Bombyx mori: one gene and its partners. The protein of the gene in region 4 binds, or shares a complex with, the protein of the main gene of each other region. Links are inferred from orthologs where the notes say so. Each region holds a gene or a part of one and is shown on either strand. Other genes may lie near its edges. The genes, in order: COP9 signalosome complex subunit 4, eukaryotic translation initiation factor 3 subunit F, eIF3h, eukaryotic translation initiation factor 3 subunit M and eIF3c.

What was found.
Region 1: eukaryotic translation initiation factor 3 subunit M (region 4) and COP9 signalosome complex subunit 4 share a complex: the UniProt entries of both Caenorhabditis elegans proteins name them as parts of the CSN complex. The link is inferred for Bombyx mori from reciprocal best matches to the Caenorhabditis elegans genes cif-1 and csn-4.
Region 2: eukaryotic translation initiation factor 3 subunit M (region 4) and eukaryotic translation initiation factor 3 subunit F share a complex: the UniProt entries of both Caenorhabditis elegans proteins name them as parts of the eukaryotic translation initiation factor 3 (eIF-3) complex. The link is inferred for Bombyx mori from reciprocal best matches to the Caenorhabditis elegans genes cif-1 and eif-3.F.
Region 3: eukaryotic translation initiation factor 3 subunit M (region 4) and eIF3h share a complex: the UniProt entries of both Caenorhabditis elegans proteins name them as parts of the eukaryotic translation initiation factor 3 (eIF-3) complex. The link is inferred for Bombyx mori from reciprocal best matches to the Caenorhabditis elegans genes cif-1 and eif-3.H.
Region 5: eukaryotic translation initiation factor 3 subunit M (region 4) and eIF3c share a complex: the UniProt entries of both Caenorhabditis elegans proteins name them as parts of the eukaryotic translation initiation factor 3 (eIF-3) complex. The link is inferred for Bombyx mori from reciprocal best matches to the Caenorhabditis elegans genes cif-1 and eif-3.C.

The regions. Positions count from the first base shown.
Region 1 is NC_085109.1:10,719,988-10,724,544, forward strand, and holds part of COP9 signalosome complex subunit 4, read left to right. Parts: intron 1-148; coding exon 149-252; intron 253-838; coding exon 839-1,024; intron 1,025-2,054; coding exon 2,055-2,173; intron 2,174-3,206; coding exon 3,207-3,361; intron 3,362-3,901; coding exon 3,902-4,118; intron 4,119-4,557. UniProt on the Caenorhabditis elegans protein: Component of the COP9 signalosome complex (CSN), a complex involved in various cellular and developmental processes.
Region 2 is NC_085124.1:489,875-496,327, reverse strand, and holds the start of eukaryotic translation initiation factor 3 subunit F, read left to right. Parts: upstream 1-2,663; 5' UTR 2,664-2,718; coding exon 2,719-2,827; intron 2,828-3,094; coding exon 3,095-3,241; intron 3,242-4,163; coding exon 4,164-4,387; intron 4,388-5,638; coding exon 5,639-5,917; intron 5,918-6,453. Other genes in the region: DNA repair protein XRCC1, read left to right, coding at 1-80, 143-290, 367-539, 811-1,016, 1,131-1,256, 1,572-1,709. UniProt on the Caenorhabditis elegans protein: Component of the eukaryotic translation initiation factor 3 (eIF-3) complex, which is involved in protein synthesis of a specialized repertoire of mRNAs and, together with other initiation factors, stimulates binding of mRNA and methionyl-tRNAi to the 40S ribosome.
Region 3 is NC_085110.1:3,929,095-3,935,415, forward strand, and holds eIF3h (eukaryotic translation initiation factor 3 subunit H), read left to right. Parts: upstream 1-2,632; 5' UTR 2,633-2,648; coding exon 2,649-2,726; intron 2,727-3,729; coding exon 3,730-3,947; intron 3,948-4,055; coding exon 4,056-4,215; intron 4,216-4,888; coding exon 4,889-5,093; intron 5,094-5,698; coding exon 5,699-6,051; 3' UTR 6,052-6,086; downstream 6,087-6,321. Other genes in the region: alsin, read right to left, coding at 1-434. UniProt on the Caenorhabditis elegans protein: Component of the eukaryotic translation initiation factor 3 (eIF-3) complex, which is involved in protein synthesis of a specialized repertoire of mRNAs and, together with other initiation factors, stimulates binding of mRNA and methionyl-tRNAi to the 40S ribosome.
Region 4 is NC_085119.1:6,793,472-6,799,770, reverse strand, and holds the start of eukaryotic translation initiation factor 3 subunit M, read right to left. Parts: upstream 3,926-6,299; 5' UTR 3,786-3,925; coding exon 3,741-3,785; intron 3,645-3,740; coding exon 3,465-3,644; intron 3,223-3,464; coding exon 3,128-3,222; intron 2,297-3,127; coding exon 2,081-2,296; intron 1,206-2,080; coding exon 940-1,205; intron 1-939. UniProt on the Caenorhabditis elegans protein: Component of the eukaryotic translation initiation factor 3 (eIF-3) complex, which is involved in protein synthesis of a specialized repertoire of mRNAs and, together with other initiation factors, stimulates binding of mRNA and methionyl-tRNAi to the 40S ribosome.
Region 5 is NC_085122.1:5,757,540-5,763,774, reverse strand, and holds the start of eIF3c (eukaryotic translation initiation factor 3 subunit C), read right to left. Parts: upstream 3,711-6,235; 5' UTR 3,576-3,710; exon of another isoform or gene 3,472-3,575; intron 3,307-3,471; 5' UTR 3,283-3,306; coding exon 3,190-3,282; intron 924-3,189; coding exon 509-923; intron 414-508; coding exon 37-413; intron 1-36. Other genes in the region: soluble NSF attachment protein 29, read left to right, coding at 3,913-4,710; gastrula zinc finger protein XlCGF57.1, read right to left, coding at 5,805-6,235. UniProt on the Caenorhabditis elegans protein: Component of the eukaryotic translation initiation factor 3 (eIF-3) complex, which is involved in protein synthesis of a specialized repertoire of mRNAs and, together with other initiation factors, stimulates binding of mRNA and methionyl-tRNAi to the 40S ribosome.

The DNA of each region.
Region 1 (4,557 bases), on a different chromosome or scaffold from region 4:
TAGTATTTTATAAAAATCTTGACCAATCCTAAATTATGAACACAAATGTTAACCCTGACAATAATATAAATCATCTGTAAAAATGTATAATTATAGTTAACAAAGGTTACGTTATATAAAATTTATTTGTAGTCTTTCATTATCATAGGTGGCCAGTATCAGACAGCACTTAGCAGATATCTACGAGCGAAATCAAAACTGGAAGGAAGCTGCTAATGTTTTAGTTGGAATACCATTGGAAACTGGACAGAAGTATGCTTTTCATTTTCTTTCAAAACAGTAATATTATTATTTTTATTGCCTTTACAGACAGACCTGATGGTGAGTGGTCATAGTTATTCAGGGAAGTCAGCAATGTAATGAGCATATCCAACCCTCTCCCTAGCACTGACTCCCCTTATATTGTTGTGAAATAGAACATGTCACAGCACTCAGAAAAAACTGCAGGGAAGCTCATTCCAAAATTAGATTGTATGTATCTCTGCACTGTGGGTGAACATAGTATTTCTACATCCCATGAATGAAATCAGTTCTGATAGCAATCTGAACAGCCCTGTTCTGTAGAAACAGGAGTAGGAAGTAGTTGGTATTTTAAACCCCAATCCATGAAGGGGAGCAGTTTATCTGGGTATGTAGTACATACCACTGCTATGTTGAGTTTTATATTATACCTTTTAAACAACTCCAATATGAAAAATTTAATTGCACTAGCTTATACATAAAACGTTTATAGATTTTGTAACACAAATTACAGTGGATATCTTTTTTTGTTGAAAATGTTTCCATGAAATAAAAAAAGAACATGACCTCTTGATTATATTTAAAATTTCATTTTTAGACAATATTCAGTTGATTACAAACTGGAAACGTACCTAAAGATAGCCAGACTGTACCTTGAAGTGGACGATCCGGTGCAAGCTGAGGCATTCGTCAACAGAGCCTCATTGCTACAGGCCGAAACAACCAACGAGCAACTGCAGATATATTACAAAGTTTGCTATGCAAGAGTTTTAGATTATAGAAGGTATATATTTTATACCGCTGAATAGTTTTGTCAGCAACAATTTAGGTTTAAAAAAAAGGGCCATTACTTCTAAATCTTTAGATGTGACGTGTTTTTATTGTGTTTCAAATGATGCCAATACAGTTCTTAATAGTCAATCTGATAAATTTTAAATACAGAAATTCATAAATATGAAGGTATTGCAAGAAGTTTTTACTGATGGTAGGACCTCTTGTGAGTCCGCGCGAGTAGGTACCACCACCCTGCCTATTTCTGCCGTGAAGTAGTAATGCGTTTCGGTTTGAAGGTCGGGGCAGCCGTTGTAACTATAGTTCAGACCTTAGAACTTATATATCAAGGTGGGTGGCGCATTTATGTTGTAGATGTTAATGGACTACGGTAACCACTTAACACCAGGTGGGCTGTGAGCTCGTCCATTCAAATATGCAATAAAAAAAGTCGTGATCTAAAGGATAAGGCGCGCGGTGTACTTACCAATGCGTTCGACACCCAGATCATTGTGAAGATCCACATTGCTCACCTTAGCTTCGAGGGTTAACCTAAAAAGAGAAATTGTAAAATTTTGTGGGAGTAGTTTAGGTACTGGTCACTGAGCGAACACTACATTCGCAAAATCTATCATCGAAGCGATGCAACTATGTCCAGCTGAAAGGGTGAAACGTTATTAACAACTGAGACTTTAATTTCGTGTCTCAAGGCATTCAAGCGGGAACGCGTCGAACCCGTCGCTTGCGACGAAGGGCTCGACGAGTAAATTAACCCTCAGACACAGCCCACTGAGTTTCTCGCCGGATCTTCTCAGTGGGTCGCGTTTCCGACACCGTGGTAGATTCTGCTAAGCACTGCTCTTGCTAGGGTTCGTGTTAGCAACGTCGTCAGGTTTGAGCCCCGTCAGCTCACCTACTAGTTAAGGTTACGTTGAAATAGCCTCTCAAGGCTATCAGATTAGGTAGGAAAAAAAAAAGTGAGACATTCGCAATTCTCGACATTGCAACATAAACAAAAAGAAATAAAAATTGGTTTGTTTTAGGAAATTCATCGAAGCGGCTCAAAGGTACAATGAATTGTCATATCGTAACATTATCCACGAGGACGAGCGGATGACGTGCCTCAGGAATGCCCTTATATGCACCGTGTTGGCATCTGCTGGTAATTGATTTCAATGTAATGCTAAGATTGTTGGGCTGCAAAAATAGAAAATCGATAAGACATTGACACATTGATTATATTACACAATATTTTTGTAATAAGACCACAGCTTCAGATCAGAACATTTAAGTCACTACAGTCTAAGTCTAAGTCACTACATAAAAAATGGTGCATTTTTTTTCATTTCATTAGACATGCTAGTCTTTTTAATATCCATTTCTACTGTTAAGTAGTCATACCAGTGTCAACAATTTTATGGTGCTTTGTTAGAGTTATCTTTATTTACCGAATGATAATTTAATCAACACCTCAAAAATACTTTACAGTTTTCGAATACATTAATCTTTCATTAATAAGCGCCCACATAACATTAGGACACTCTCACAGCGTAGCAGGAATGTATCAAAAATTCTCCCTAACTGGAACGCGTGATTATATCGCGGTAGATCAAGGTAGAGTGGTGGGATTTTCTATGCGCAGGCTTTTCCTATACTAGTGAGAAATAGGAGCAGCTGTAGGAGTAGTTAATATTCGTCAAAGTAATTTAAATTTATTTTAAATTTAATATTTAAATAATTAAAAAAAACTAACAAAACACGCTTTTATAGAAAATCCAACAAAAAAATAGAAAATACATTTTAAGAAATTTGAATTAAACATAGTGTAAGAAAAAATGTTTTATTAATAATAATCAATAATTTATATATCAATAATTATATATCAATATCAATAATTTTATTGTAAAAAAAAGCGTGTAAAATGTTTTTCTATAAAAGCGTATTTGTTTAGTTTTTTTAAACTATTATTTATTTTTCATTTTTTAGTTGAATTACAATTTAATTCAATTTTTTTTTAAATATCGAATTGTCATCGGTCCTTAATTAATAAGTATACCAAATTTCGAGTTAATCCGACGTTTTCAAGGGGGTCAATATCATGTTCAAAGATTCCGTTACATACTAACATACCTACATACGTCTGAAGCTAATAAAAGCGTATTAAAAAGTAATGTCTTTTATCTAAAATGTTACAGGACAACAGAGATCCAGAATGCTAGCAACATTGTTCAAAGATGAGCGGTGCCAACAGCTGCCGGCGTATTCTATTCTAGAGAAAATGTATTTAGATCGTATAATTCGACGGTCAGAATTGCAGGAGTTCGAATCCCTCATGCAGACACATCAAAAGGTTAAGTTAGGACATATTACATTTTTTTTTTGTTCGGACACGGGGCCGAGTTTTGACGGTCCGCAAATTTGGGAAATTGACATTAAAAAAGGCATAAATATATAAGTTATAATAGATGAATAGAAGCATGACTGAAAACCTTAAAAAAAAATGTTAATTTGATTGATTATAATTTTTTTGCTGTCTAAGTTTGCAGGTTTTTGATACCGAAATTTTAAGCGTGTTATCTCCATATTAGTTTGGAATAATAAATAGGAAACTAAATTCTACCCTGTTCATGTAATTTTCACGGTTCAATAATTACCAAATAATGTAAACGGGTATTATAAAATACGAATTTTGTCATCAACCATGAAAAATTGAGATCAAAAGCCACTTTTTATTAATTACTGTGCAGTGTTTTTATACTTTGTACGTTCTTAACTAGGCAGTCTAAGTATGTGCCTACCAGGTTATGACCGCGTCTTGATCTATTTGTAATAATTATGTTGTTGATTGAAATGATAGAGGATTCACTGATGATTAATTTAAATGTAACAGGCGACCACACCCGACGGGTCTACGATCCTCGACCGAGCGGTTTTCGAACACAATCTGCTGTCAGCGAGCAAGCTCTACAACAATATAACATTCGAAGAATTAGGTGCGCTACTAGAAACGCCGCCGGCTAAAGCGGAACGAATAGCGAGCCACATGATCAGCGAGGGTCGCATGAACGGGTACATCGACCAGATCAGCTCCATTGTACATTTTGAAAGTAAGTATAAGAACTGAATTTTGTTAGCATTTATGTTGCAGACTACGCCTATACCACACTTGAATCGGGGGACACATCATGATGTCTAAGCTGAAGTCCAATGGAATTATCTTTGCCTATCATACTATTCAAAATTAAAGGCCATGTATACTTCGCGGCAAATATTTTTTTTATTGCTTATATGGGTGGACGAGCTCATAGCCCACCTGGTGTTAAGTAGTTACTGGAGCCCATAGACATCTACAACGTAAATGCGCCACCCACCTTGAGATATAAGTTCTAAGGTCTCAAGTATAGTTACAACGGCTGCCCCACCCTTCAAACCGAAACGCATTACTGCTTCACGGCAGAAATAAGCAGGGTGGTAGTATCTACCCACGCGCGGCTCTCAAAAGGTCCTATCACCAGTTCTCTGACAATAATCTCTTATTATTAATAC
Region 2 (6,453 bases), on a different chromosome or scaffold from region 4:
AGACAATATATCATCGAGAGCAAAGCGGGTGAAGCGAGACGACAGCGCCGGGACCGCGCCCGCCCCCCGGGGACAGCTCGGTGAGTCGCCCGGGCCGCTACACTCCACACCTGACCGCTGGTGTCATTAGTATATGTTACAGTCGCGTGTGTCGCAGCGGACGTGCTGCGCGGCGTGCGCTTCGTGCTGAGCGGCTACCAGAACCCGCTCCGCCAAGAGTTGCGCCGCGAGGGGGTCGCGCTGGGGGCGCGCTGGGAGCCCGTCTGGGGGCCCGCCTGCACGCATCTCATGTACGTGCCCTCCGACCTCCCGACATGTTGTAATGTCCGTTGTGCCACGTGGAGTACAGCGTCGTGTCGCCGGCAGATGCGCGTTCCCCAACACGCCGAAGCTGCAGGAGGTGCGGCGCGTGGCGGGCGGCGCCGTGCCCGCCGTGCGCGCGGACTGGCTGCGAGCGTGCCGCCGCGCGCGCCGCCGCGTGCCCTGGCGCCCCTACGCCACGGAGCCGCACCAGCGCACCGCACCACCACACGCTGCAGGTTCACGCACCACGCCGACAGTTCGATTGCTCATTCATTAATAAGAACAGACGGACGCCGCTACCAATATTTTTAAACCACAATACAAAATTAATTATTATTATTATTTTTTATTTCCTTTGTAGGCAGACCAGCATACGGCCCACCTGATGGTGAGTGGTTACCGTCGCCCGTGGACTTCAGCAATGCCAGGGGCAGAGCCAAGCTGCTGCCTACAAATTAGGCAAAAATGTAATTAAAACGTAATTTTGACCAATTACTTGTCGTCCAGAAACTGACGAGTCAGCGGACACCGACGAGGAAGTGCGGGACCGCGGCCGGGCGCCGAGCCCCCCCGCCGGCGCGACAGGGTCGAGGGGGGGCAGCGGCGAGCCCGACGTGCAGTTCGTGTGCGACGAACGAGTCAAGGCGTCGCTCGCGGTCGAGTCGGACTCGGACGAGACCGACGCTGGGGCCGACAGCGGCGCCGAGCACGCGGCACGTACACTCTATTACTAACGGATTAGTTAGTAATAGAGCTCGTCCACACATCTAAGCAATAAAAAAAAAAAAAAAATTACTTTTTTTTTAAATATTAAGTATTGTTTCCAGATAGACGACAGCAAGTCGCTGCCGGCGTTCTTTGAGGGAGTAACGTTCGCGGTGGAGGCCGGGGACACACAACTGCGGGCGCGCTGCTGGCGCTACCTGCGGGCCTACGGGGGGCGCGTGCTGCAGGTCGCTCGTGCTGCAGGCACAACAATATGACATGCCCTTCTTCAAACGAGGCTTGTAGAGAGTACTTAACGATAGGCAGCGGCTTGGCTCTGCTCCTGGCATTGCTGAAGTCCATGGATGACGGGAACCACTCACCATCAGATGGGCCGTATACTCGTCTGCCTACAAGAGCAATAAATTTATATTCTTATATTTATATTTATATAAATTTATATTAATTCAAAATAGTTAAAAAATTTCATGATTGTCACATTTCCTCTATGATTGGATAAATATACATATTTTCCTAATTTTAAACAAATGTACATTTTTCAGAAGTCTCAGCTGGATGAGGACAGCCGCGTAGATTACGTGGTGTGCGACGACGGCGCCGCGCCGCGAATCAAGGGCCGCGCCGTCACTGCAGCCTGGCTGTGGAAATGTCATCAACAACGAAAACTGTGTCCAATATAACGACAGCTCAACTTGTGAATTCCTTTCATTAAATAACTGTCAGCTAACAACGCCTTTTCTTTCACAAATCTCAGTAAATGACCACCATTTTACTAAGATCCCATATCATCTCATTTCATTTAATTTCATTCTAGTTGATTAGGGTCAATTCCCACTGAAAGAGCAGCGGCCGGCAGCGTCTTTTTTAGGCAAAATATTACAAACTATTTTGAATCTTATCTACGTGATTAAAAAGTTCATAGTCATTTGAAGGCAAAGGAGGGGTAGCGTGACGTCGCGAGGCTGCACGAGCCTTCTACCGACTAGTCAAAAGAGGCGCCGCGCGGCTGATCGCGGCGCAGCTAGCTGACGTGCGGCCGACCGCGGTGCAGCTAACAGACTCGCGGCTGCGCGCGAGCGACCATTTCATACCCGCCCGCCCTGCCGCTTACGCATTTCGCGTCATTTTATTAGAGGGTATCAAGTTAGAACGTGCTACGCTCCGTGAGAAAAAAATGTACCCAAAATTTTCTTTTCCTTTTTCTTTCCGTTTTGTTTGTTACTTCTTGTTCTTCTTCTACAGCCAGTGCTATGATACATAAATCCAAATCCACCATATTTATTGCCACACAACTTTCCTTGAGTGAAGTAGATCGCACACTAGTTTTCAAAGCTACTACGCGGAGGTTCATTGCGGCGCCTCGGGATGCCGCGCTGCCTCTCGCGGCGCCGCACTGCCCCGCGCGGCGCCACACTGCCCCTTGCGGCGCCGCGCTCAATCACTTGCTCTTACGGCCGCTGCGCGCCGCTGCTCTTTCAGTGGGAATTGACCCTAATGTCTCAAATTAATCATCTTCATTTTATTTCATTTCACTCCATATTATCATTTTTCATAAAAATAAGACATGACTTAAAGGTCTTAATTACCAGTTCATAAAATCCCTAAAAAAATTAAAATTAGCAGAGATAATACCTACAATATTCTCTTGTACTCTGTGTTTCTGGGTTTGTAGTTTTGGTCGAATTAAAAATGGCTCTCAATATTAGTGTGAAGGTCCATCCTGTTGTTTTATTTCAAATTGTGGACGCATACGAACGTCGAAATGCAGATTCTCACAGAGTTATCGGCACCTTATTGGGTTCGTATTGATTTATAAATCATGCAATAACTATAAATTCAAAGGACATTAGTTGTCAACGTCATGTCGTGTACCAAATTTTATGAGTTGTTATTTAAAAGAAAAATCCCTAAATGCTAAATATGTACGTCAATTATCATTACACATTTCACTTTGGCTTTTCCACATCAACGTTATAGTTAATTTGATAAATTCCTTGGTCACATAAGCCAGGTGCAATACAAATGTGTAAAGGCGTTGTAAGGTTATGTTGTGCTGTTGCTGCAGGCACGAGCGACAAAGGAGTGGTGGAAGTAACCAACTGCTTCTGCGTGCCACACAAAGAACATGCCGATCAAGTCGAAGCGGAACTTAATTACGCGATGGATGTTTACGAGCTGAACAGAAGAGTCAATTCCTCTGAAAGTATTGTTGGTGAGCTATACCTGCATTATACTCAAATTCACATATGTAACAATACTCACAGACGCATACACACACAATTTACACTAATTATTATTATTATTATTATTATTATTAATGCTTTATTTCAGTTATTATTTTTTTTTAAAACCATAACATTTTGTTAGTAATAATTACTTATAATCTATGTTAGTAACTTAAAAATCTAACACATAACTATCATTATATTATACATTTTATACCATTATATATTATTATTTTTCTCCTTCCAAGTGCCTACTGCAAAGGCTATTGATCAGCAGTCCCTCGATCTTGCTCGATATGATTCTCAAAAGACTGTTGTCACTGTCACGAACTCGACGCAATAACGATGCACTTCTCTTCCGCATTATTGCAAAGAAGTCATCTGTGTGAGATGTCGCAAACATTGTGGATGCACTACAAAAGCGCGGCAGTGACAACATCATCCTAAACGCATTATTATATTGGACACGTAGGGCATTGTAAGCTCTCCGCGTGTATGTGGTCCACAGACTACTGGCGTAAAAATTCTGGCAATAAGCTTTAAAAATTGTAAGTTTGACATAGCTATCGCAACCAGTAAATCTGCGGGCCAGCATGTTGCATCTTACTATCAACTAATTGCCACATCATCATCATTTTCCTGCCCTTCTCCGAGTCACCTGGAGTCGGCGCAACATATTTTCTCCGTTCATACTCCTCTATCATAATACCATTTCTTCGCTCATTCCACTCTTACACATATTGTCCTTCATGCAATCCATCCATTTCTTCTTAGGTCTACCTCTTCCACTATAGCCTTCCACATTTATAGTTAACACTCTTGACAATTGCCAATTAATAAAATTGGATCTTTTACTTCCCTTAGCATACCTTATACATTTAAATTCAAACTCATTTGTATTATTTTTAGGTTGGTGGGCGACTGGCAATGAAGTAACCAACCACTCCTCTGTTATACACGAGTATTATTCCCGTGAATGCCGTGAGCCTGTCCATGTTACTCTGGACACTTCGCTGGCTGGAGGTCGAATGGGTTTACGTGCATATGTTTGTGTACCATTGGGAGTGCCAAATGGAAAGCAAGGTTGCATGTTCACTCCTGTAGATGTCACTCTCACATGCTATGAACCTGAGGTAATTATTGAAGATTTTGTACTGTATTCATTGTCAATATTTGCTTTATTAAGCAAAAATATGGTGAAAACTGCTGAAAGGCCATTAAACTCTGACTGTTACAGGTTTAAATTTGTGTTCAAAAGGCTTCAAAATCATGAGCTGTTTTAGACTCAAATTTGTTAATATTTCAATATCCATGAACTCCAAAACTGCATTGTGTGGAATCACATATTGTTATATTGTTAAATAAAAAAAGGGTGCGTGTACTTATGTGCGCGCGTAAGAAGTTATACTTAATTTTTATTAATTTTTTTTTTTTAATAATCATAAATTAATAATAAATATTTAATGTTAATAATTTAATAATGTTTAGTATGAATTACAGTCAAACCTGGATAAGCGAGAGTTAAAGGGAGCACAATCTCATTCTCGCTTATAGAGGTTTCTCACTAACCCGAGTTTCTCCCTAATGAACCCTCTGAATGTCATTTCGCGATTTTCCAGATTCAAACGCATTCACTATTTTAAGTTTATCACTTAATGACAGTACTTTAATTTTCCGTTTTGACATGATGCAGAACAGATTTTTCCCTCGCGATTGATTAACGATAAACTGAGTAAGTCTGACAAACAGGACGGTACACCGGGACACGTGTCCATTCGAAAAGAATGCGATAAATTAACAACGTTATTTAGTTCCACGAAATAGAATAGGTTCTATATTGACGAGAAAACAATACAAAAACAATGTTAAAAAGTTCCATGAAATTTAAGAATGGGTCATAAAATAGCAGATGTTAAATTTGTAATTTGTTTTGTCATTTGTTCCTCCTAAATAATATTATTATAAATAAATAAAGCTCGACTGTCGCTTATAGAGGTATAGACAAGTAGCAGTCTCACTTACGGAAGTCCATAAGGGAAAAAACTACTCTCGCTTACAGAGGTTTCTGTCTCTCGCTAATAGAGGTCTAAGAAGCTAAAAATGACGGGTCCTGGCTATTACTCTCATTTATAGAGTTTTCTCACTTATCCAGTTCTCACTTACCCAAGTTTGACTGTATATTAAAATCCCTTATTAATCTGGTAATTCCTTATTAGCAGGAAAGGCCTGAGCATATTAAAACGCATTACTGCTTCACGGCAGAAATAGGCGGGGCAGTGGTACCTACCCGTGCGGACTCAAAAGAGGTCCTACCACCAGTAAAAAACCTATCTAGAGTTTTAATGTTTTGCGGCATAGAGTAAACGTTTGCTTTGATTGATTAGATTGTAGGTCTACAAGTGTGCCAGAAGACTGTGTCTGGTGGAGGTCGCGGGTCGAGCGGCGTGGCCGCGGGCTCGGACCTGGCGCAGGTGATGTCGGCGGCGAGCTCGCTGGAGTCGCTGCTGGAGCAGGCGCTGCAGTACGCGGACGGAGCGGCCGCCGGAGCACCGGCCGACGCGGAGGCGGGCCGTGCCCTATTGCAGCTCGCACATTCCGCACCTGACCTTGCCAAGGACACCTTCTCAGATGCCTTCGCCTCCAGCGTCAAAGATCTGCTCATGGTAAGTTCACACTCAACCACTCTACCGTGCTGTGGGCTTAACTAGAACATAATATATGAGTAAGTATAAAGGATGGGACGGTTTCTGGACATCTTTCATGAACACTGACATCCAGGCGAGACTATGAGACAATTTGTTAGCTGATCTACTTGTGTTGCTAATGGCAATTACTTACACAGGGACTATACAAGTGCCTATGATTATTCATCCAAAACTTGTGCTGAAATATAGTTTTGTCAATTCTGCTGTCCCTCATCAACAGTACTAATGTCAGCCAGTTCTTGAACATTACCTTTATATAGTGCTGGGTTTGATTTACCATTTGCTTTTAAGCATAAGATATCATTAAACTCACAATGATGCATGCAGACTGCATCATAACAGTGAACTTTCAAATAGTATCAAGATATAAAATGTCACCATAGATTTCTTACCAACAAAAACTACGTTTTCAGTAACTCTTAGCATAATGCTGTGTACATTTTGAGTCGAACTACACATATTTGAATGCGTGGTTGGCCAATAATGAATCACCT
Region 3 (6,321 bases), on a different chromosome or scaffold from region 4:
TGGGGCATAGCTCCAGAGCCCCATAACTGCCCATCACTACTAATAAATAGTTGACCAAAATCATTAGCTACAACAGTCCGAAATTTGACTTTGTAACTTGAGCTCCTGAACCCGTGGGGGCAGCATTTAGAGTCTTCCTTTACTACAATTTCTTCTTTATTTTTAAAGCTACAATTTGTTTTAAATAGGCGCCCGTGCGTGTCTATGATATATAGTATGCCATTATGATATGATATGTCCAGTGCTGAAATACCGCTCACCCTTTTAAAATTCAAAGAATCGTCTGCATTTTCGCAATAATAGATGCCATGGTCGTTTCCTAACACAATAAAATTTGTATCTAATGAGCACAATTTAACAACTTTATCAGGTACTTGTTGAGACGTCGGCACGTTTAGGGGAGTCACTCCTTTCCAAAACTTATGCTGACTCATTATTTAATCAAGTTTTCTTAAATTGATAAGTAGGTGTTTGTTTAACACTAATTTAATTAACAAAACTCAATTTAATGAACGAAACAGATCACAGAGCCAAAGTATTTTTAGAATCAAAAATAAGTTTATGATGCCAAAACATTTTGAATTGCCACAACATCATAGATATTAATGACTTCAAGCAAAATTTCCACAACATTTATGGATAAAGTAATTAAAAACGATTTTGATTACACTATGTACATACATACATATATTTATGTATTGAGATATGTAATTGTATCCTTTTTTTTTTGATTTTATGGCCTGGTAACGATACCTTTAAGCAAAATTGCATTCACGAATAAAATTAGGTATGTGTACTGCTGTGAATACAGATAATACATTTAATAGGTATTAAAACTGTAATTGTTATTATTGTATTTTCTGTCTGTATAATCTTTGTGGGTAACGTTATAGGGCAGATCTTCCGCGGAGCTGCTATAATTGCCCGGTAGCTAGGCTCTAAACGATCTCTTTTTTTTTCCTACCTAAGCTGATGGTCTAGCCTCTAGTGAGACCATATCAGCGTAACCTTAACTAGTAGGTGAGCTCAAGGGGCTCAAACCTAACGACGTTGCTAACATGAATCCTAGCAAGAGCCGTGCTTCGCAGAATCTACCACCGGATCGGAAATGCGACCCACTGAGAAGATTCGGTGAGAAACTCAGTGGGCTGTGTCTGTAGGGTAAAATTTACTCATCGAGCCAAGCAAAACAATAGAAAATTAATTAGTAAAAGATTCGTTTTAAGCTTTGAAATAATCAATTCTGCACAACAGGAACAAATTTTTTCACCACATAGTTCTAAGCTTTGTTTTTTTTATTGCCCTTGTAGGTAGACGAGCACACGGCCCATGTGATGGTGAGTGGTTACTGTCGTCCATGGATAGAGCCAGGGGCAGAGCCAGGCCGCTGCCAACCAGTTTATACTCTCCACAAGCTTCGTTTGAAGAAGGCGTTGTTATAGTTGTCGGGAAACACCGTGGAGGGGAGCTTATTCCAAAGCCGGACGGTACGTGGCAAAAAGATCTCTGGAAACGCCCTGTGGATGACCGCAGTAGTTCCAGGAATTATGGATGAACTCTATTCCGGTGGCGGGCGGTGTGATGGTAAAAACGAGATGATGGTTTCATGTCTAACAATTCCTTAGAGCACTCCCCATGGAACATACGGTGCAAAATAACAGAGTGAACCCAAGTCCCTCCGCAGACACAGAGGTTCCAAACGATCCGTGAGAATGGGATTATCGACAATCCGAACGGCCCTCCTCTGTATGGAGTCAAATGGAAGAAGCTGGTATTTGGGAGCCCCCGAACGGCTCTCTTCTGTATAGAGTCAAATGGAAGTAGCTGGTTTTTGGGAGCCCGGCCCAGAGGTCGGAGTAGTACTCCACACGAGGCCGGACCTGTGCTTTGTAGAGCGAGAGTCTTAAGCAAAAGTCGTAAGTTAACAAAATGTTCCATAAGGTACAACCTAATAAATAAACGATTAATTACAAATTGACGAACGGTAAAATATAAATACAGCGATAACGCGAATTGATACCACTTCCTTATTAAAGCAAATAATGAGACCTCACGTCTATAAGTGTAATTCGAGCCATATCACTTAACTTTATAGTATTTTTTTTAATTCAAAATCTGTAAGAATGTAATACAATTTATACATGGATAATAGAAAAAGATTGAACAACATTTGAGATTTATCATATAAATAAAAAATCTTTTAAACCTTAATTTTTATCATTACTAAAAATGGATTTGTTAAAGAATATTTACAAGATCATAATGCATTAATTGTTTTACATTTATACCGTAAACATTAGGATTAACTATCATTGTGATCCATAGTACAATACGCAAAATTACGGCACTTATTTATTGCATTGTAACTGGGATATAAAAACTACTATATTAATCTCATTAGCGTGTGTATGTCTTCGTATACCTACTCTTTTTAAAACCCAGAAATTTGTAAAAACTGGTATATAGTTCCAACAGTGTTTAAGTTTAATCGAGATGTGATATTCGTGGTAGTATTTTTAAAGGCTAATCTGTCGTATAGTGTCGATTGCAAATAAGGTATCGATTACAATTATCGATAGCTATTGATAGTCGATTTGGAGAGCTACACTAAAATGTAATCAAATCAAACGTTCTCTTGTGAATTAAAAATGGCGAGCCGTGCTGGTTCAGCTAGACGCGCTCCTGAAAATGAAGCGACGATCCAATATGTTCAGTGCGATGGACTGGTAAGTAAATTTAAAATTAAAGTTTAGATAGGTTCTCTGAGACGGACGTCAACTGTAGGTTTTAAATTAAAAACTTTGTGAAAGTTCGTGCCTCGACACGTCATGTATTTTTACCATTTAATTAATATATAGAAGTAAACATCGTCAATTAAGGTGGATTATTATGATCTGGAACATGATTCGTGTTGTATGATTTTAGGAGATCTTAGATTACAATAAAATAGGTTGCCGTTGCAATAATAAAGATAATTGTATAGGTTATGTTTTCAATTTTGTGCTCTCGTTTCTTTTTAAATAAATCGGGCAAACGTTGACAATTCACCAAACCTTGAATAATTCGTTATGTTAATTTCTATAGGATTCTATGAACCAAAAAACTTTCGATATAAAAAGAAAATAAAAGACTACAAAGGTTTTTTATTTCTGTTTACAACATATAAACGTTGTTGAGTCATTGACTGTTTTGGGACATTTGCCCTGAGCCCGGGGGTCATTGAAATAGGAGGATGATCTCACCTAACTGTACATCTAAAACATTAAATTTTCTCTGAACTATATAATTAGTGTTTTAAACTATGCTTCATTACAAAGTTTAGATCTTGATAGTATATGTGAAGTCATTTTTTGTTATATACTATACTACTATTTACTGATAATTTTATAGTTTCCTAACTGTAAATGATTGAGATTAGTTTTTGTTCTGATTGATTGCAAATAGCAAGCTGATTGATTTCCTACACATACACAGAAAGTTAATATAGCAATAATTTATTAGGGATGGGTAGGTATTAATTTGTTTTGTTAAACTTGTTACACATTAAAGTGTATTTTAACTTGCCTTGAATAATATCCTCTCTGAAGTTATTTAGTTGAAACATGCTTAAAGTAGTGGTAAAACAGTTTAATATGTGGTAATCAAACAAATCCTCATCGAACTAACTCAAGCATTTGAAATGACAGATCTGCTCCCACTTTTATAATATATTTGTGCTTTTTATTTTAGGCAGTGATGAAAATAGTGAAACACTGTCATGAAGAATCATGCAGCAACATGGAGGTGGCTCAGGGAGCTCTCCTTGGTTTGGTCGTTGAGAACCGTCTGGAGATTACCAACTGCTTCCCATTTCCAAAGCATGACGACACCATGGATGAGGAGGAATACCAGTTGGACATGATGAGGAGGCTTCGAAGAGTCAATGTTGATCATTTTCATGTTGGATGGTAATTAATATTGAAAATTGTTTTATAGTATGTCAAAATATGTCATACAATATTTTAAATTAGAACAGCAGAACTTTCTTTTTTCTTATACCTCATATCTTTCTTCAGGTACCAGAGTGCAGATGTAGGCAATTTTCTAAGCCTTTCGTTATTAGAGTCACAATATCACTATCAGACCTCTATTGAGGAGAGTGTTGTTGTGATTTACGATACAAAGAAATCAGCCAGAGGATTCTTGACTTTGAAGGCCTATCGTTTGACACCTCAGGTAATTAAGCTCTCATAACTATACACATTTTAAAGTGCTAATGTTGTTAATTGAGCTTTATGACAGAACTAATTTCTGAAGTTGAGCTATTTTATTTATTTATATTACGTATATTTAGTGAAGTTATCACTTGTTAATGCTAAGTGAATGGCAGAATCTATATTTTTGAGATATTTTAAATGTTTTTTATGGGGATACTATCTAAGTGGTCCATGCAACCTGCAGATATCACAACATGAGTGCATTAAGCGGTAGGCAGCGGCTTGGCTCTGCCCTTGGCATTGCTGAAGTCCATGGGCGATGGTAACCACTCACCATCAGGTGGGCCGTATGCTCGTCTGCCTACAAAGGCAATAAAAATAATAAAAAAAAATATATTTGATGTCTCACCATTAAACCAGAATGAATGTATGATTCCCAGCAAATATAAAGAGGATGGTAATGTATGTTCTTATACACATGTCTTAAGATGTAAGACTGTTCTCAATCCTTAAACACATTATTATTACGTGCAGAAATAATAGTAACTTGGACTCACAATATGCTCATCAACAAGCAAGTAAATTATTGTTGTTTTTTTTTTATATTTATATTGTGAAAACATTATGTATAGTTGGGTGTTCATGTATGAATAAGAATATATGTAAAATTGAGGTTAATACTTACTTTACAGGCTATTGCTATGTACAAGGAAGGCGATTACACTCCGGAAGCACTACGTAACCTGAAGATTGGCTATGAAAATCTATTCATTGAAGTGCCAATTGTTATCCGGAACTCTCCATTAACTAACATAATGATCTCTGAGCTCACCGAGATGATACCTGAAGAGGAAGGATCCAAGTTTTTGGATCTGGGTACTGCATCTGTTCTCGAAGGTTTGTTTAATTTTACTATGGTATACAATTATCAGAAAAGCTTTCAAGATTTAGGCTACATCTGACTACATCAATTATGGGTTGATTCCTTTGCTGCAATCTGAAGCTACTACTTTTCCCAGTAGTTGTTTCCTAACTGCTATATTAAACTTGTAATTTTTACTATGTGGAGGAATGGCAATAGACAATTTTAAGCAGGTGAGCTTTCACTATCATCTTGCTTATTAATTCTACTAAGAAAGTGTCCTCTTAAAGGGTACAGATAAACATCCATCCAATGTCATTAAAACTTCGATTCCCTTATGTTAATATGAGGTGGCTCTTAAGAGCCTGAAGATTATGTTTCTTCCTTTACTTAAATGTTCATATCTATATGTTGGTCATCATAAACAATCTACAGAGAGGTTTTTCTTTATTATTTCATGTTATAATATTTAGTAGAAAACATTACATAGCATTTTTCTCTTCATTTTGTGTAAAACTATTGATTTTGTTTAATGAATTTTAATGTTGATCTGATTTTACAATTTAAGGGCATCTAAGGGCCCACTTTATTTAAAAATATTGTATTTATCATCATAACAATAAAATTGATTTAATTACAGGACAACTTCGCAGTCTCATGGAACGTGTTGATGAACTGAATCAAGAAGCGATCAAGTTCAATAGGTACCAACAGCTGGTGGTCAGGCAGCAACAAGACAAGCATCGTTGGATGGTGAAGAGGGCACAGGAAAATGCTGCTAGGGCTGCTAAAGATGAGACCCCGTTGCCAGAAGAAGACGTGAACAAACTCTTTAAACCTCATCCAGTCCCGCCAAGGTTGAATCCTATGATCGTAGCCGGACAAATAGACACATACAGCCAACATATAAGCCAGTTCTGTAGTCAGAGTCTAGCGAAATTGTATTTGACTCAGGCTCTTCAGAACGCGAAAGAAGCGAAACAAAACAACTAGTTTTTTTGTATGGTATTAAAAATGATTTGGTCATATTGTTTTGTTGTTTAATTTCACAATTAATTTATATGTTACTATACTTTAAAACTATAAACTAAAAAAAATCATAACAAATCTTCAATCTTCACATTCTCCTGCCAGACATGTGGTTGTTGTACAGTTGCAACTAGATTAACAAGCTGATGAGTGGTTTAAAATCAAGCATAATTTTTTTTATTTTTTTTATTTTTTATTGCTTAGATGGGTGGACGAGCTCACAGCCCAACTGAT
Region 4 (6,299 bases):
CTAGAAAAACTAGTTCCACATAAGTTAATCTATATTATCACATCATCAATATATATTAATCTGGCAGGAAGTATTTCTCCTTTTTGACTTTGGTATCTACAGTGTTACGTATAATGGTTAGCGGAGTTTATACTCATACAAAGTAAATAATAGCCTTGCATATATTGACATCTGCTGGAAATCATAAAAACCTTCTAATACTTGTACACTTGTTGCAGACTCGAAATGCACAAAACAAAACAGTGAAAAAGTGGTAACCATCTTTTTGAAATTATAAAAGTTGGTGTGTACCGACAAAAAACATTTGTAACAGTTGTGATAGCTTACAGCTTTCTGGTTACAAAATATATTAGCTTTAATCTAAAGCTAACAACAATCTAGTAATTTATAAAAAAATATTTAAAATAATAGTTATTTTTTTTTTGGCAAATCCAGTTTGGCAGTTCAACTGGACTAACAAGATGTGTTGCAAATAGTTAACCCTAGTTTTACCAAATGACAAATAGGGAATATACAGTAATATCATCTATTACATTATTAGTAGAGAGTAAGTAAAGGAGTCAAGGTATAGATATTGGTCTACTTTGAACTACAAATGAATATTTCTTTTCAGTTTGTGCCACTTGACAACAAAGTGGCTTGATAAGAACATAGAGATAGAAAGAGGATTTTACAGTGTATGGTAATAATTTCATTTTAATACTAGTAGATGCTCAAGCATATTCTATTGGAATTCTGGCTTCTGAACACTACTAAATTACTTAAAATCTAGGGAGTTTAGGATATGAACACCATAATTTTGTAATCTTTATTATGCTTTCATGTATGTTACATAAGAAATCCCAAATGAAGTTTTGAGATTGCCCACTATTTGCTCACCTATACTAATAAATAAATGAATGCATATGATTACCACAAGCAAATAAAATTAATAATTACCTTGAGAATGTACAAACTCTTTATGATTATTATAGAATGTCTGGTAGCTTGATAACTTTTCAGATACAAAAATTGTAAGTAAATCGTGAATGAGCTCTCCTTCAAGGAAACGCACAGGTTTTAATGTTAACAAGGGATCCAGCAGAAATGTGTTGGGATCTGCCAATGCTGTCGCTATACATTTAATTGCATCTTCTCTTGCATATGAAGCATTTTCATCTGTATATGTGCCCAGTAGCTCAATCATTACTTTAGCAGCTAGTTCACTGTAAATAAAATACATTTATATTTTTTAACGGAACATTCGAGTTTGTATTGTACACTAATTCAAAGCGATTACAAAAATCTACTTACTTACTATTTATTTAGTGCCCTTGTAAGAAAGACATTCCTGTGCAAGGCTGTCATCTTTTTAATATATTACATACATAATCCTCTTATTAGTAGATAGCAGTTTTTAAAATCAGGCAGGTCCAATGACAACAGCACATCGTATACTTAAATTACTTTTATAATTAAGTTGTTGTGGCCTAAGAGATAAGAGGTCCGGTGCATTCGTGTTGATGCACCCGGTGTTCGAATTTTTCTAATGAAATACGTACTCAACAAGTGTTCACGGTTGATTTCCACGGTGAAGGAATAACATCGTGTAATAAAATTCAAACCCGCAAAAATTATAATTTGCGTAATTACTGGTGGTAGGACCTCTTGTGAGTCCGCGCGGGTGGGTACCACCACCCTGCCTATTTCTGCCGTGAAGCAGTAATGCGTTTCGGTTTGAAGGGTGGGGCAGCCATTGCAACTTACTTGAGACCTTAGAACTTATATCTCAAGATGGGTGGCGCATTTACGTTGTGGAGGTCTATGGGCTCCAGTAACCACTTAACACCAGGTGGGCTGTGAACTCGTCCAGCAATCCAAGCAATAAAAAAAAAAAAAATAACACAAAATGAATAGTACTAAAATAATTTTCAAATAGCAAAACATAATTCTAAACATAGAATCTCTTTTGGTGAAATATGTTTGCTATTTTGAGAAATATTAATAACAATGTTTCCTTAACAAGCAATCAGACTTTGGTACATCACTCATAGAAATAATATGGTCATTGTTTAATAAATTTAATGTAGTGAGAACATACCTGTTTTGGTCTTTTAACACTTGATGTAAAAGCCGATACAATTTCTGCATTTGTTCATTAGAGGGTGGGCAGTTAGCAAACTCTTTCCTAAGCTGCTCAACCCCAGTGAAGACTTCCCTGACAAATCCAACTCGTGCAGCCAGTTCTATGACATGATAATATACATGGTATCTTAGAGGTGAGTTGGGTTCTAAGTTGTTGTAAAGTCTCCATAACCTATGAAACAAACATTTTGCAAAATTACTATCTTTCATGTGGATGAAAGTGATTGTCCTAAACTAAATACTGCTGGGTGATTATTTGGTATAAATTTTTTTTCATTACTTTCCTGTCAGCAGTTCCACTTTTTGTGCCACAATTAAAACTTTTGATGAATATACTATTACTTAATCATACTTCCATTCACACACAAGCATCAAGCATTTCTGTAAGCCTTATGCATTTTTCCCTAACAATCATTAATACATATTCTGCTTCAATTCTATAAAATACCAATTTGGAATTCTAGGATCTATTTTTATTATATTTTACTAGCGACACGCCCTCGCTTCGCTTCGGAAACTGTAATTTATTATTGATTTCTCCACTATTTAATGGATGTTATTATACATATAAACCTTCCTCTTCAATGCCTCTATCTATTAAAAAAACTGCATCAAATTTTATTGCGTAGTTTTAAAGATTTAAGCATACATAGGGATATAGGGACAGAGAAAGAGACTTTGTTTTATACTATGTAGTGAAGACATGTACATTGGATCCATTTAATCCCAAAAATAAGTAAATTTATTTGACACATTTTTTTCTGTCCTTAATGATTTTAAAATATTGTTTATTTGACATTTAAATAAATTATAAAAAAATAAAAATTGCAACATTCATTTTTAAACATTTATGGGCAAGAAATAAAAAGCCTTATTCCCTATGTCATGATGGATTTAAACCTGTGATTTCACTTAAATCTTTGTAACTAAGATCTGATAAGTGATGTAGTTGGTTGAATAATAAAGGTTACTTGCATAGTTAAAAAAACCTCTATATACTTACGATTGCAAAGCTACCATTCCAAGTTTAGGGCCAGGAGCCTTAGTGAGCCTTTGACTAAATGCTAAGATAAGGTTTTCTCCTCTTTCTAATGGTATCTGTGAATATTAGTTGCAATATATATGTAAGTATGCGAGTCAACTATCAAACATTTATTTTTATTGCCCTTGTAGGCTGACGAGCACACGGCCCACCTGATGGTGGTTACCGTCGCCCATGGACTTCAGCAATGCCAGGGGCAGAGCCAAGTCGCTGCCTACCGCTTAGTACTCTAATTAATGCTAAAGTACACCTAGATGTTTCTTATTAAAAATAACTATAGCTTTTGCGTTCAACTTACAGAAACCATAATAGAGACAATACTGTTCAGAATGGCTTCGATGTCCGATTCACTCGGCTCTTTGAAACAAGCATCACAAACCCCAACGATCTTATGCAGATCATCCTCAATGCCCTTAGGTGATTTTTCTTCTGAAATCTCGGCGCCAAGGCTCTTAAAATATCTTCTCAGTTCGAGTGCCTTCAATCAAGAAAGAAATTTTATTAAAATTTGCATGTAGACACATTGCAGCAAATAATTTGTTTTGAACGACAGGTTATGTTGACATAAACTGACCTGATCTTCCAGGGATATGTCCATAAACACAGCTGGCCCTTGCATTTTAATTCCTTTTTTGAACTGTATTCTTTTATTTATTATTTATAAGCATTAAAGTGAATGCAAGAACGATTTCTTAGCAACGAAATGTGGCAAACGATATGACAGTTAATAGAGTAGTATTTCTAGTTTTTCCAACTGAGAGGGCAAAGGTATCATAACATATAGCCTAATCTTTTGTATATTGTTTTTATGAAAAATGATATAAAGAGAAATGAATTGCAACGTGAGCATTATAAGGTGTTAGTGTGACTTCAATTTGGAAATTATATGATTCCCGAGCTTCTCCAATATTGTGCCTTGTTCCTCACAGTACACATCCACTGTAATACTTATGGCATTTGATAAGAACAAAACTACACAATTTAAGAAATATACCGACACTAAACCACTAAACAGTAATTGTGACTTTTAATAAAAAATTCAGTTGAATTAGGAATTTACTGTCAGAAATGCATAAACTACGTTTCAAATGGTATTTTAAAACAGTAACTTATTGGTAAAGACCCGTTATCGTGGCAACTATATCTCGTAAATTTGTAAACCTACATCTGGCTTAAAGGTCTTGTTACCAAATCACAAAAACTTCAAAAAGAAAAATACCTACATCGTAGGTAGTGAATTTTAATCGATAAACAATATTTTACAGAAATCGGCTTGATATATTAATAAAAAATGCGTAGTTTTCGAAAATTTATAGATATAAGTACGCATATAAATGGCACAAAAGTGAAAAATAACCTACCATACGTATCTTCCGGTATTCCATCCTTAGACCATATAGTTGGTAAGTTTTACTATTATGTTTAATGGATTAGATTGGCAAAACAAGATCAAATCAATTTTAAACAATTGTAGGGAACAAATTTAATTTATAAAAGTTTTTATTGTCATATATTTACAAAAATCAATAAAATAAATATAATTTTACACTTTCTAGGTGGAGGAATACCTGCAGGCAGCATTTTTGTTGTAGGTTCGTGAATTTCTTTTAAAATTGCATAATATCTTAGAGCCAAAACAAATTTAATAAATAAATATGGATATGAAATTTAATAAATAATCAAATTAAAAATATTTAGTTTTTTATCATAACTTCATTTAATTTTCAATACATTGCATTTTAAGAAAGTAAGATTAATATGATTTTTATATTCACACAACGCATTGTTATTAATTCCAATGAAAGGACTTCAATTACCTTATTTACTTTTCAGAGGAAGATGTCCTTGGTGTGTACAGCAAAGTGTTATTCAAATATTTCATAGCAGAGGGTGTAGCTTGTGACCATGAATTATTTGTTACATCTTTAGATGAAGACCCACACAAAATAGTTAGTCAATGTTTATTACTTTTTCTTAGATGAGTAGAAAATCTCACTGTGCACACGAGGCTTAATTATTACCAAAATTAATATCACAGCATAAGTACTACTACCCATCTTTACACTGTGGGCCTGGGCTGTCTGTCTTTTATATAAAAAATCACAGATTTGTATTTACAAATGTAACCAAATTAGTGATAAATGTTAAAGGTCATATAAATATCATGCACATCTGGAGTATACATATACAACATACAAGCATCCAAAAGTTTGGAAGCAGCCAGATATACTAGCCAGATATAAAGTATTCAATTTAAGAATAAACAAAAAAAAAATTAATTAAATGAGAATTAAAGTACAAAATTAATATTCACATCAACTGTAGAGCCATCAGTGTCCACATATTTTGATTCTTGCATATTCTAGGCATTCTATTCATTAATTTCTTGAATTATGTCATAACAAAACACGTCAAAATTAAGTAGCTTATTAAAACTTAACAACTTAATAATCCTATTGGTTTTGTTTGAATAATCTGAAAATGTTGTAAAAAAGTATATTTAATACAATTTTTTACTACATCATGTCAGAGATGCTATTCTTTATAATTATGCTTTCAAAATTTAGAGACTGCAGTGTATATATAATTATATAAATAAATAAACATAATTTAGTAAATCTTAGTAAAAATTTTGTTAAAATATCAATTCCAGACATCAGAACTCCCTCAACCATGTGCTTTACCTCCAGAAGATGAAAAAGCACCAAGTACTGATGCAGAAAAAATGAAAATAGCCTGGAGATATGAAGGCCTTAGTCAAGTTGAATCATCATTTGGCAGCAACACTAATTTTGGACATAACTTTGACTTGAGCAGATACATTGATGCTGACACAATAGAAAAGAGTAAAATCCAGTATGGTACTACAACTTGGCAAGACAGTACTTTAAGCTGGCAAACGACTATGCGCAGAGGTATATTTAATATATTATTCCCTCTTTTCATTATAAAAACTTTCATTTTAATTACAATGGTTATAACGAATTAAAACTAGCACAGTATAAGGTATAGTTTAATTATGTGAGAACAATAAACAATTAACTTAAAGATAAGTAATTGAGGTAAAAGCAATTAAACACTTGTCTATATTACTGAAGGATGGACTTTTCCTGGAAGCTAGGTGGTCGGCCGG
Region 5 (6,235 bases), on a different chromosome or scaffold from region 4:
TTGAATATTTAAGTAAGGAGATTGTAATATACATACTTTAGCGAACATTTTAGGCTTATCAGAAGTCGCCGCACCCTTTCTGACTGTTTCCCATTCACCACCATCATCAGCTACGTCGCGTTTATTGATTTTACCAGACCTTTCACGTCTTTCCTCACGTTTCTTTAGTTTAAGTTTTATTTTCTCTTCATCATCCTCTTTCTTGGTAACTTTCTTGATGAATTGTTCACGAATATTGGAGGTACCACGTTCCTCATCATCAGAGCTAAAACTGGAGTCAGAAGAACTAGAAGCCCAATCCATAGAATCTGATGATTCATCATCTTCTGGTGGTGGACGAAGAAGGGGCTCGGGTTTAGGCTTCTCTTTAATTGGTTTTTCTTCATCTTCAGACTCATCTGATGATGATGAATCTATGAACAAAGTTTGTTATTAATTGTTTTGCATTGAATATGAAGTAGTGTTGAAGAATGTAATTTAAGTTTTCGTTTATTTTTAATTTGCTTACCTTTACGTTCATTGTCATCGGGTAGATCAGGATCTTCACGGAACTTGGATATTTCAGCTTCAAAATCTTTAGTGTACTTCCTAAGTTTCTGTCTTAGTGAGGTAAGAGCTTTACTGTTTCCTTTTGATAGAGCTTTTCGGGCTTCACGTTCATTCCATGCTCCTACTACCCAATCGTCCAATTCTACAAGAGCTCTTATGAAGAATCTAGGAGCAACTCCATTCTCCTCCTTTTGAACAACCGGTGCGGCTCGAGTGTATGCCTTTTGGAGCTCTTCGAAAGAAGCTAATGCTGAACTAAAATCCTTGATTTTCCGATGATTGCGTATAGAGTGTATAATTCCTTCTAATTCCTCATAACGCTTCTCTTTCATTGAGCGCACAACTCGCTTTGTTTCTTCCTCATCGTCACTAAACTGTTGCCAATATAAAGAATTATAATTAATTGTACTTTTCTTGTTCAATATTCTTCTACAGTTGACTGAATTATTAAATAAAATTTGAAAAAATTATTATTCTAAGCTTATAATTCTAAAGATGTAAAATAGACATGTATTAATTTGTTTGAAATTGCCACCAACTAAATCAACGATCTTGAAAAATTTTTGTACCACAGACCAAACAAATTTTATGTAATAAGGCGAACCTATTCATGCTTAGTCGATTTTGAAAGTACTTCAGAACGAGAACTCTAGTAAAATAATGTAATAGCCCTTAATATAGGAAGTCCGCTGAGCGGACGCGGCACTGTTGCCGCCACTGGCCGCGTCTGTTTGAAGTCCTTTGAGCGGACGGGTCCCTGTTGATAGATAAATGTGATTTGACATTTCACGTATCTGTGGAGTCCGCTCAGAGGACACCGCACTGGGGAGAGGTTAATGTATCACAATAGAACATTAACTAGAGTTACAACCATGCTCGGTAAGAGCTGTTGTTAGTAAGCTAGTGTTAATAAGAAATAACTATCCAGTTGATTTTATTAACGCAATATTATAATGGAAGAAATTTTCAATACTCGAATAATCATCATTTGAAGACCAAAACTAAGACATGTAAAACATGCATGCCGTGGTAGCGCAGGCTCTTCTTACACAAGTATACGCAACCTTCCTGTTGTTCACTTATCCTGAGTGCATACCTCAAAATAGAGGCAATTTACTGAAATGACTTGGGACTATAATAATATTGTGAATTGTAATTATAATCTTGTAGAATTTTCCCACAATGGCGCACTTTTAAGATTTTTAATCTGTTAACAATATACAATATTAAAAGATGACAACAAAAAAAAAATTAGCAAAAAAACACAGCAACTCTTATCTCCCAATCAATTTATAACTTTTAGTCTGATCATTTTCTTTTTAAAATTTGAAGCATATGTTTAATGTTTATTACAATTAACATTAGATATGTGTCGTTCGCCAACGAACGAACCAAACGACCCGGGTTTCAAAATCCGCGCGAACATTTCAAAAAATATGAGTCGTTCACTAGATTGACCCGTTTAACAAAACCTACGAATCAGAAGAAAAGAACCATGCAACAGTCATTCGGGTCATTTCGGGTTGCCGGGTCTCGCCCCGCGCCCGTCTCGGTTAGACGTTCGCTGTCGCATAATGACGCATAACGTATTTGAATTTTTTTTATCTCACCTAAACAATCGAACTATAACAGTTCCTTTAAACTGTTATTCAATACTAAACTTCATTCAGCCAGTGACCTGATAATATTAATCACATCATAAATTGGTGTGATTAACGGAAATCCAAACGTTTGACTGAACGGGTCGAACGAACCGGATCATTTTGTCAACAGGTCAGTATTGATCTGATTCTCTAAAATTGATTGAACAACACATATCTAATTCACATCACTGTACTATTCCGGAATCAAAGCATCTTGTTATACAAGTCAAGACAAATTAATAACAAATTGATATGCCAATCACTAGATGCACTTATTAAACTCATAATTGAAATAAATAGAAGTTTTAGTGGCTTACTATTGTTACTATTAAATTATTTATCCATGTATATTATTATATTACTCCAAATTATCTTTCAAGCAGTATGCCAGTTGACCAACAAGTCTACTAAGAGTTTAGGAACGAAAGAGTAGCACGAGCAACCCTTTGTCCTGCCAAGATGTAACTTGTGGGATTTTTTCAGATATTTTAAATTTAACATGGGTTGAATCCTATGTCATACCTTATTTATTATGAATTAAAAATGTTTTAATAATATTATACCATATTTTACAAAGATGACTGAATACAAGAAATAAAATTTATAATTAAAATAATTTCACAATCATTACAAAATATGGCTGTTCCCTTTGCCCATTCAATTTTTTGGACAAGTCGTTAGAAAGCTGTAAGCTGGCACAATAGCAGATTGCGAGCAGAGCAGAAATACATTATTGATCGCTACCCCCTCTATTAGCTACTGATAGTGGACATTTAGGAAAGAATTTAAAGGATCACATTTTTCAAAACTTCTAAAAGAGTTACAAAATTTTGCTAATTGCATTGCTGATTACCGAAAAAAAGTTTCATATATCTTGTCATCCTACATGAGATTAATGTTAGTCTCCCTTGGTAACTTAAAAAACTATTTATCTTTTTTTAAACTATAAATTGAAAATTTTGTTTCCTTGATTCCCAATTATTTATTTTAAATTTACCGTGTAAACTGGCGCGGGGGCGCGTACTACTGGCTCGTCCTCGCTGCTGCTCTCTGACTCCGAGTCCGTCCCAGTTGCAAAGAAACGACTCATATTTACAAGAGTTAGTTAATGCTTCTGTAAAAGAAAACTTCGTTAATTCCAAATGAACATTATTTGACTCCAATGGTAATTTATTTTCTTAAATATCTTAAATAAACATCAAAATTAGTAATAAATAGTTGACTTGTCCTCGCGTTGAGGTTATAAATTAGAACTGTTTAACATTTTTACAATACTTACTGTCTTATATTAAAAACAGAGTAGGTATTCAGTTTTCAAGCAATCCTCTGATGATAGACTTAATAAATTTGTAGCGAATAGAAAGAAAGCTCTCAAATACAGACCTTGCCCACGACTCACTTCATACGTCAAACGCATCAAAGTTGATCAAAGAGCTAAACTTTGTTTCAATTGTTCAATTGGAAAGGCAAAGGGAACGTGGCATATTGACTTTTTTTGTTCAATTAGACAGACACTTAAAAAAATCGTTTTATTTGGCTACATCCCTTTGCTCGTCGTATCAGATAAATTAAACCTAAAATAAACATTTATGGTACATACCTACCATAATAATTGTGTATTATCTGTGCTTACCACCCCCATAATTTCAAGTGCATTCTTTTTGAACATCACCAATAAAGTAACGAGAACACACCTACGTAGTAAATTACATTTTAAGCAATGTCTGGGCATAAATATTTCACAAATCCGAACAACCTATTCGAAAATGACGACGTCGATGATAACGAATTTGTAGATCGCTTCCGGTCAAGAATACCTCAAACACAGCAAGCAAATAAGCCTTATGGAGGTCATATTGCAGAACTGGAACGTCAACGCCAAGCTATGATCCAAACACAAAGAGAAATCGAACAACGGACAATAGATTCATCAACGAGAAGTATCGGATTGCTTCGTGATTCTGAACAAATTGGTATTGCAACGGCCGAAGAGCTTTCCCGACAACGTGAACAGCTACAGAACACAGACAGGCGACTTGATGAGATTAACACCAATTTAAACTATAGTCAAAAACATTTAAATGGTATAAAGTCTGTATTTTATGGTCTGAAGAATTATATTTCCGGAAAAAGTGATCAAACACCATCTAAAAGTCCAGCGACCTCGAATGTACGTAATGCTGGTACAAGTAGTAGCAGGCTTGATGAAACCCTAGATAATATGTCTAGGAACGTTGAAGATCGCTTTGAGAGTCATCCCTCAGCACGCCTACATGGTTTGTCTCAAGAAAGCGCTAAGAGTCCTGAAACAGAAAACGAGAGAGTAAATAATATACTTGATTCGAACTTGGATGAAATGGTGCATGCTATATCCCGGCTCAAACATCTAGGAGTTGCACTTGGTGAAGAGATAGAACAGCAAAACAACCTCGTGGATACTATTCAAGACAAAGTTGAGATTGCAGATATCAAGATTGGTAAACAAAATAAACAAATGAATAAACTACTTGGGAAATAGCAATAATTATAGCAAATTAAAGATTTATTTTAAACAACAACTAAAAGGGTCTATTAATCTATTAAATGTATCTGTTTATAAAGATTTAGCATGTTTTTAATGTGAGTGGTTTGCAAAATTCAGTAGTGTAATCATTTTGTGTGATAAGGAATACTAATGTATGGCAAAGTTTGATAAGATTATTTTTTATTTGAATCACATGACCAGCAGCAATTTGATAAACAACATGGTGTAAAAAGGGGATTTCATAGTAAAGGAAAAATCCATATATAATAAACCTACTAGTAATGTAAATTGTCTGAAAGGCTTCTTACTGCATACTAATGCTCTATACATTCGTCACCACTGCTGAGCTGACTGGCATTTTTATAAAGCTTCATAGTATGTAATAATGGTTCTTGTGTGATACTGTCCATTGTTAGCTGATCATGTACACTTAGTTACATCTAATAAAATGGTGTATGATTCATATTATTTAGGTAAACCTTTTCTGTATCATATTCGATCATCATAACCTTCATTCATTCTTCATAACTTTATTGTGCACAGTATATAGTAAAAAAAATTATCTTGTAATCTTTAAATAAATGTGTTATCTTTTTGGCTAGCAACTTATCATGACAAATTTCTTCTATTTGTTTCTAATTGTTGTTCATGCAATTAGAGACAGTTACAGTATAATAGCTAGGTTTCACTATTTTAAGATAAAGTTTTAAGTACACTTAAATATATATAAATAAGACTTGTGTGCAAATAAAACAATATTAGGGCAAAACAACCAATATAAGGTGAGTACTTACTTTAAGTACCTATGTTCTATTAACTAATCCAAATTTTAAATGGGTGAAAGTTCCAGACACCTCATCATGAATTATGTTCTTGCATCATAAAGTAAGGTACATACATACTAATATTGTTATCAATGAGTTAATGTTTGCCATTAACAATAATTTCATTTATATCCAAGAACCTAGCGATAAGTGTAAACAGTCATTATTATTATATATACTTATTTTATATTGTTTCCATTAATAAATATATTTCAAATCACAAATGCTTTATTTTCTTTAGTTTTTTAAATTCTAGATAGTAATTTACATATTTGCATCAAATACTTGTTCGAAGAAAGTATTATCAACAACAGTTTCCAATATCATGTCATTGGCATCAACATTATGAGTTTTTATATGTTTTTGAAGAACTCTTTTATTTGACAGTTTCTTCCCGCATATATTGCAATGGAGCTCCACAGTGGCATGAGATTCCATATGCATTTTTAAGCCTGAGGCTGTTGCAAAACCTTTGAAACAAGTTGTGCATTTGTGCTGTCTCTCTGTCGTGTGAGTGTGTGCAAAATGCACCAACAATGAATGTTTGGTGGCAAAGCTTCTTTCACAGTCTTTATTGGAACATTTAAATGGTTTTGGTCTCTGTTGGCCAGTATGAACTATGCTATGTTCCCGTAAATAAATAGCTCTGGTGTAAGCTTTAGGGCAACTAGGGCAAGCAAACTGTTTTACTCCAG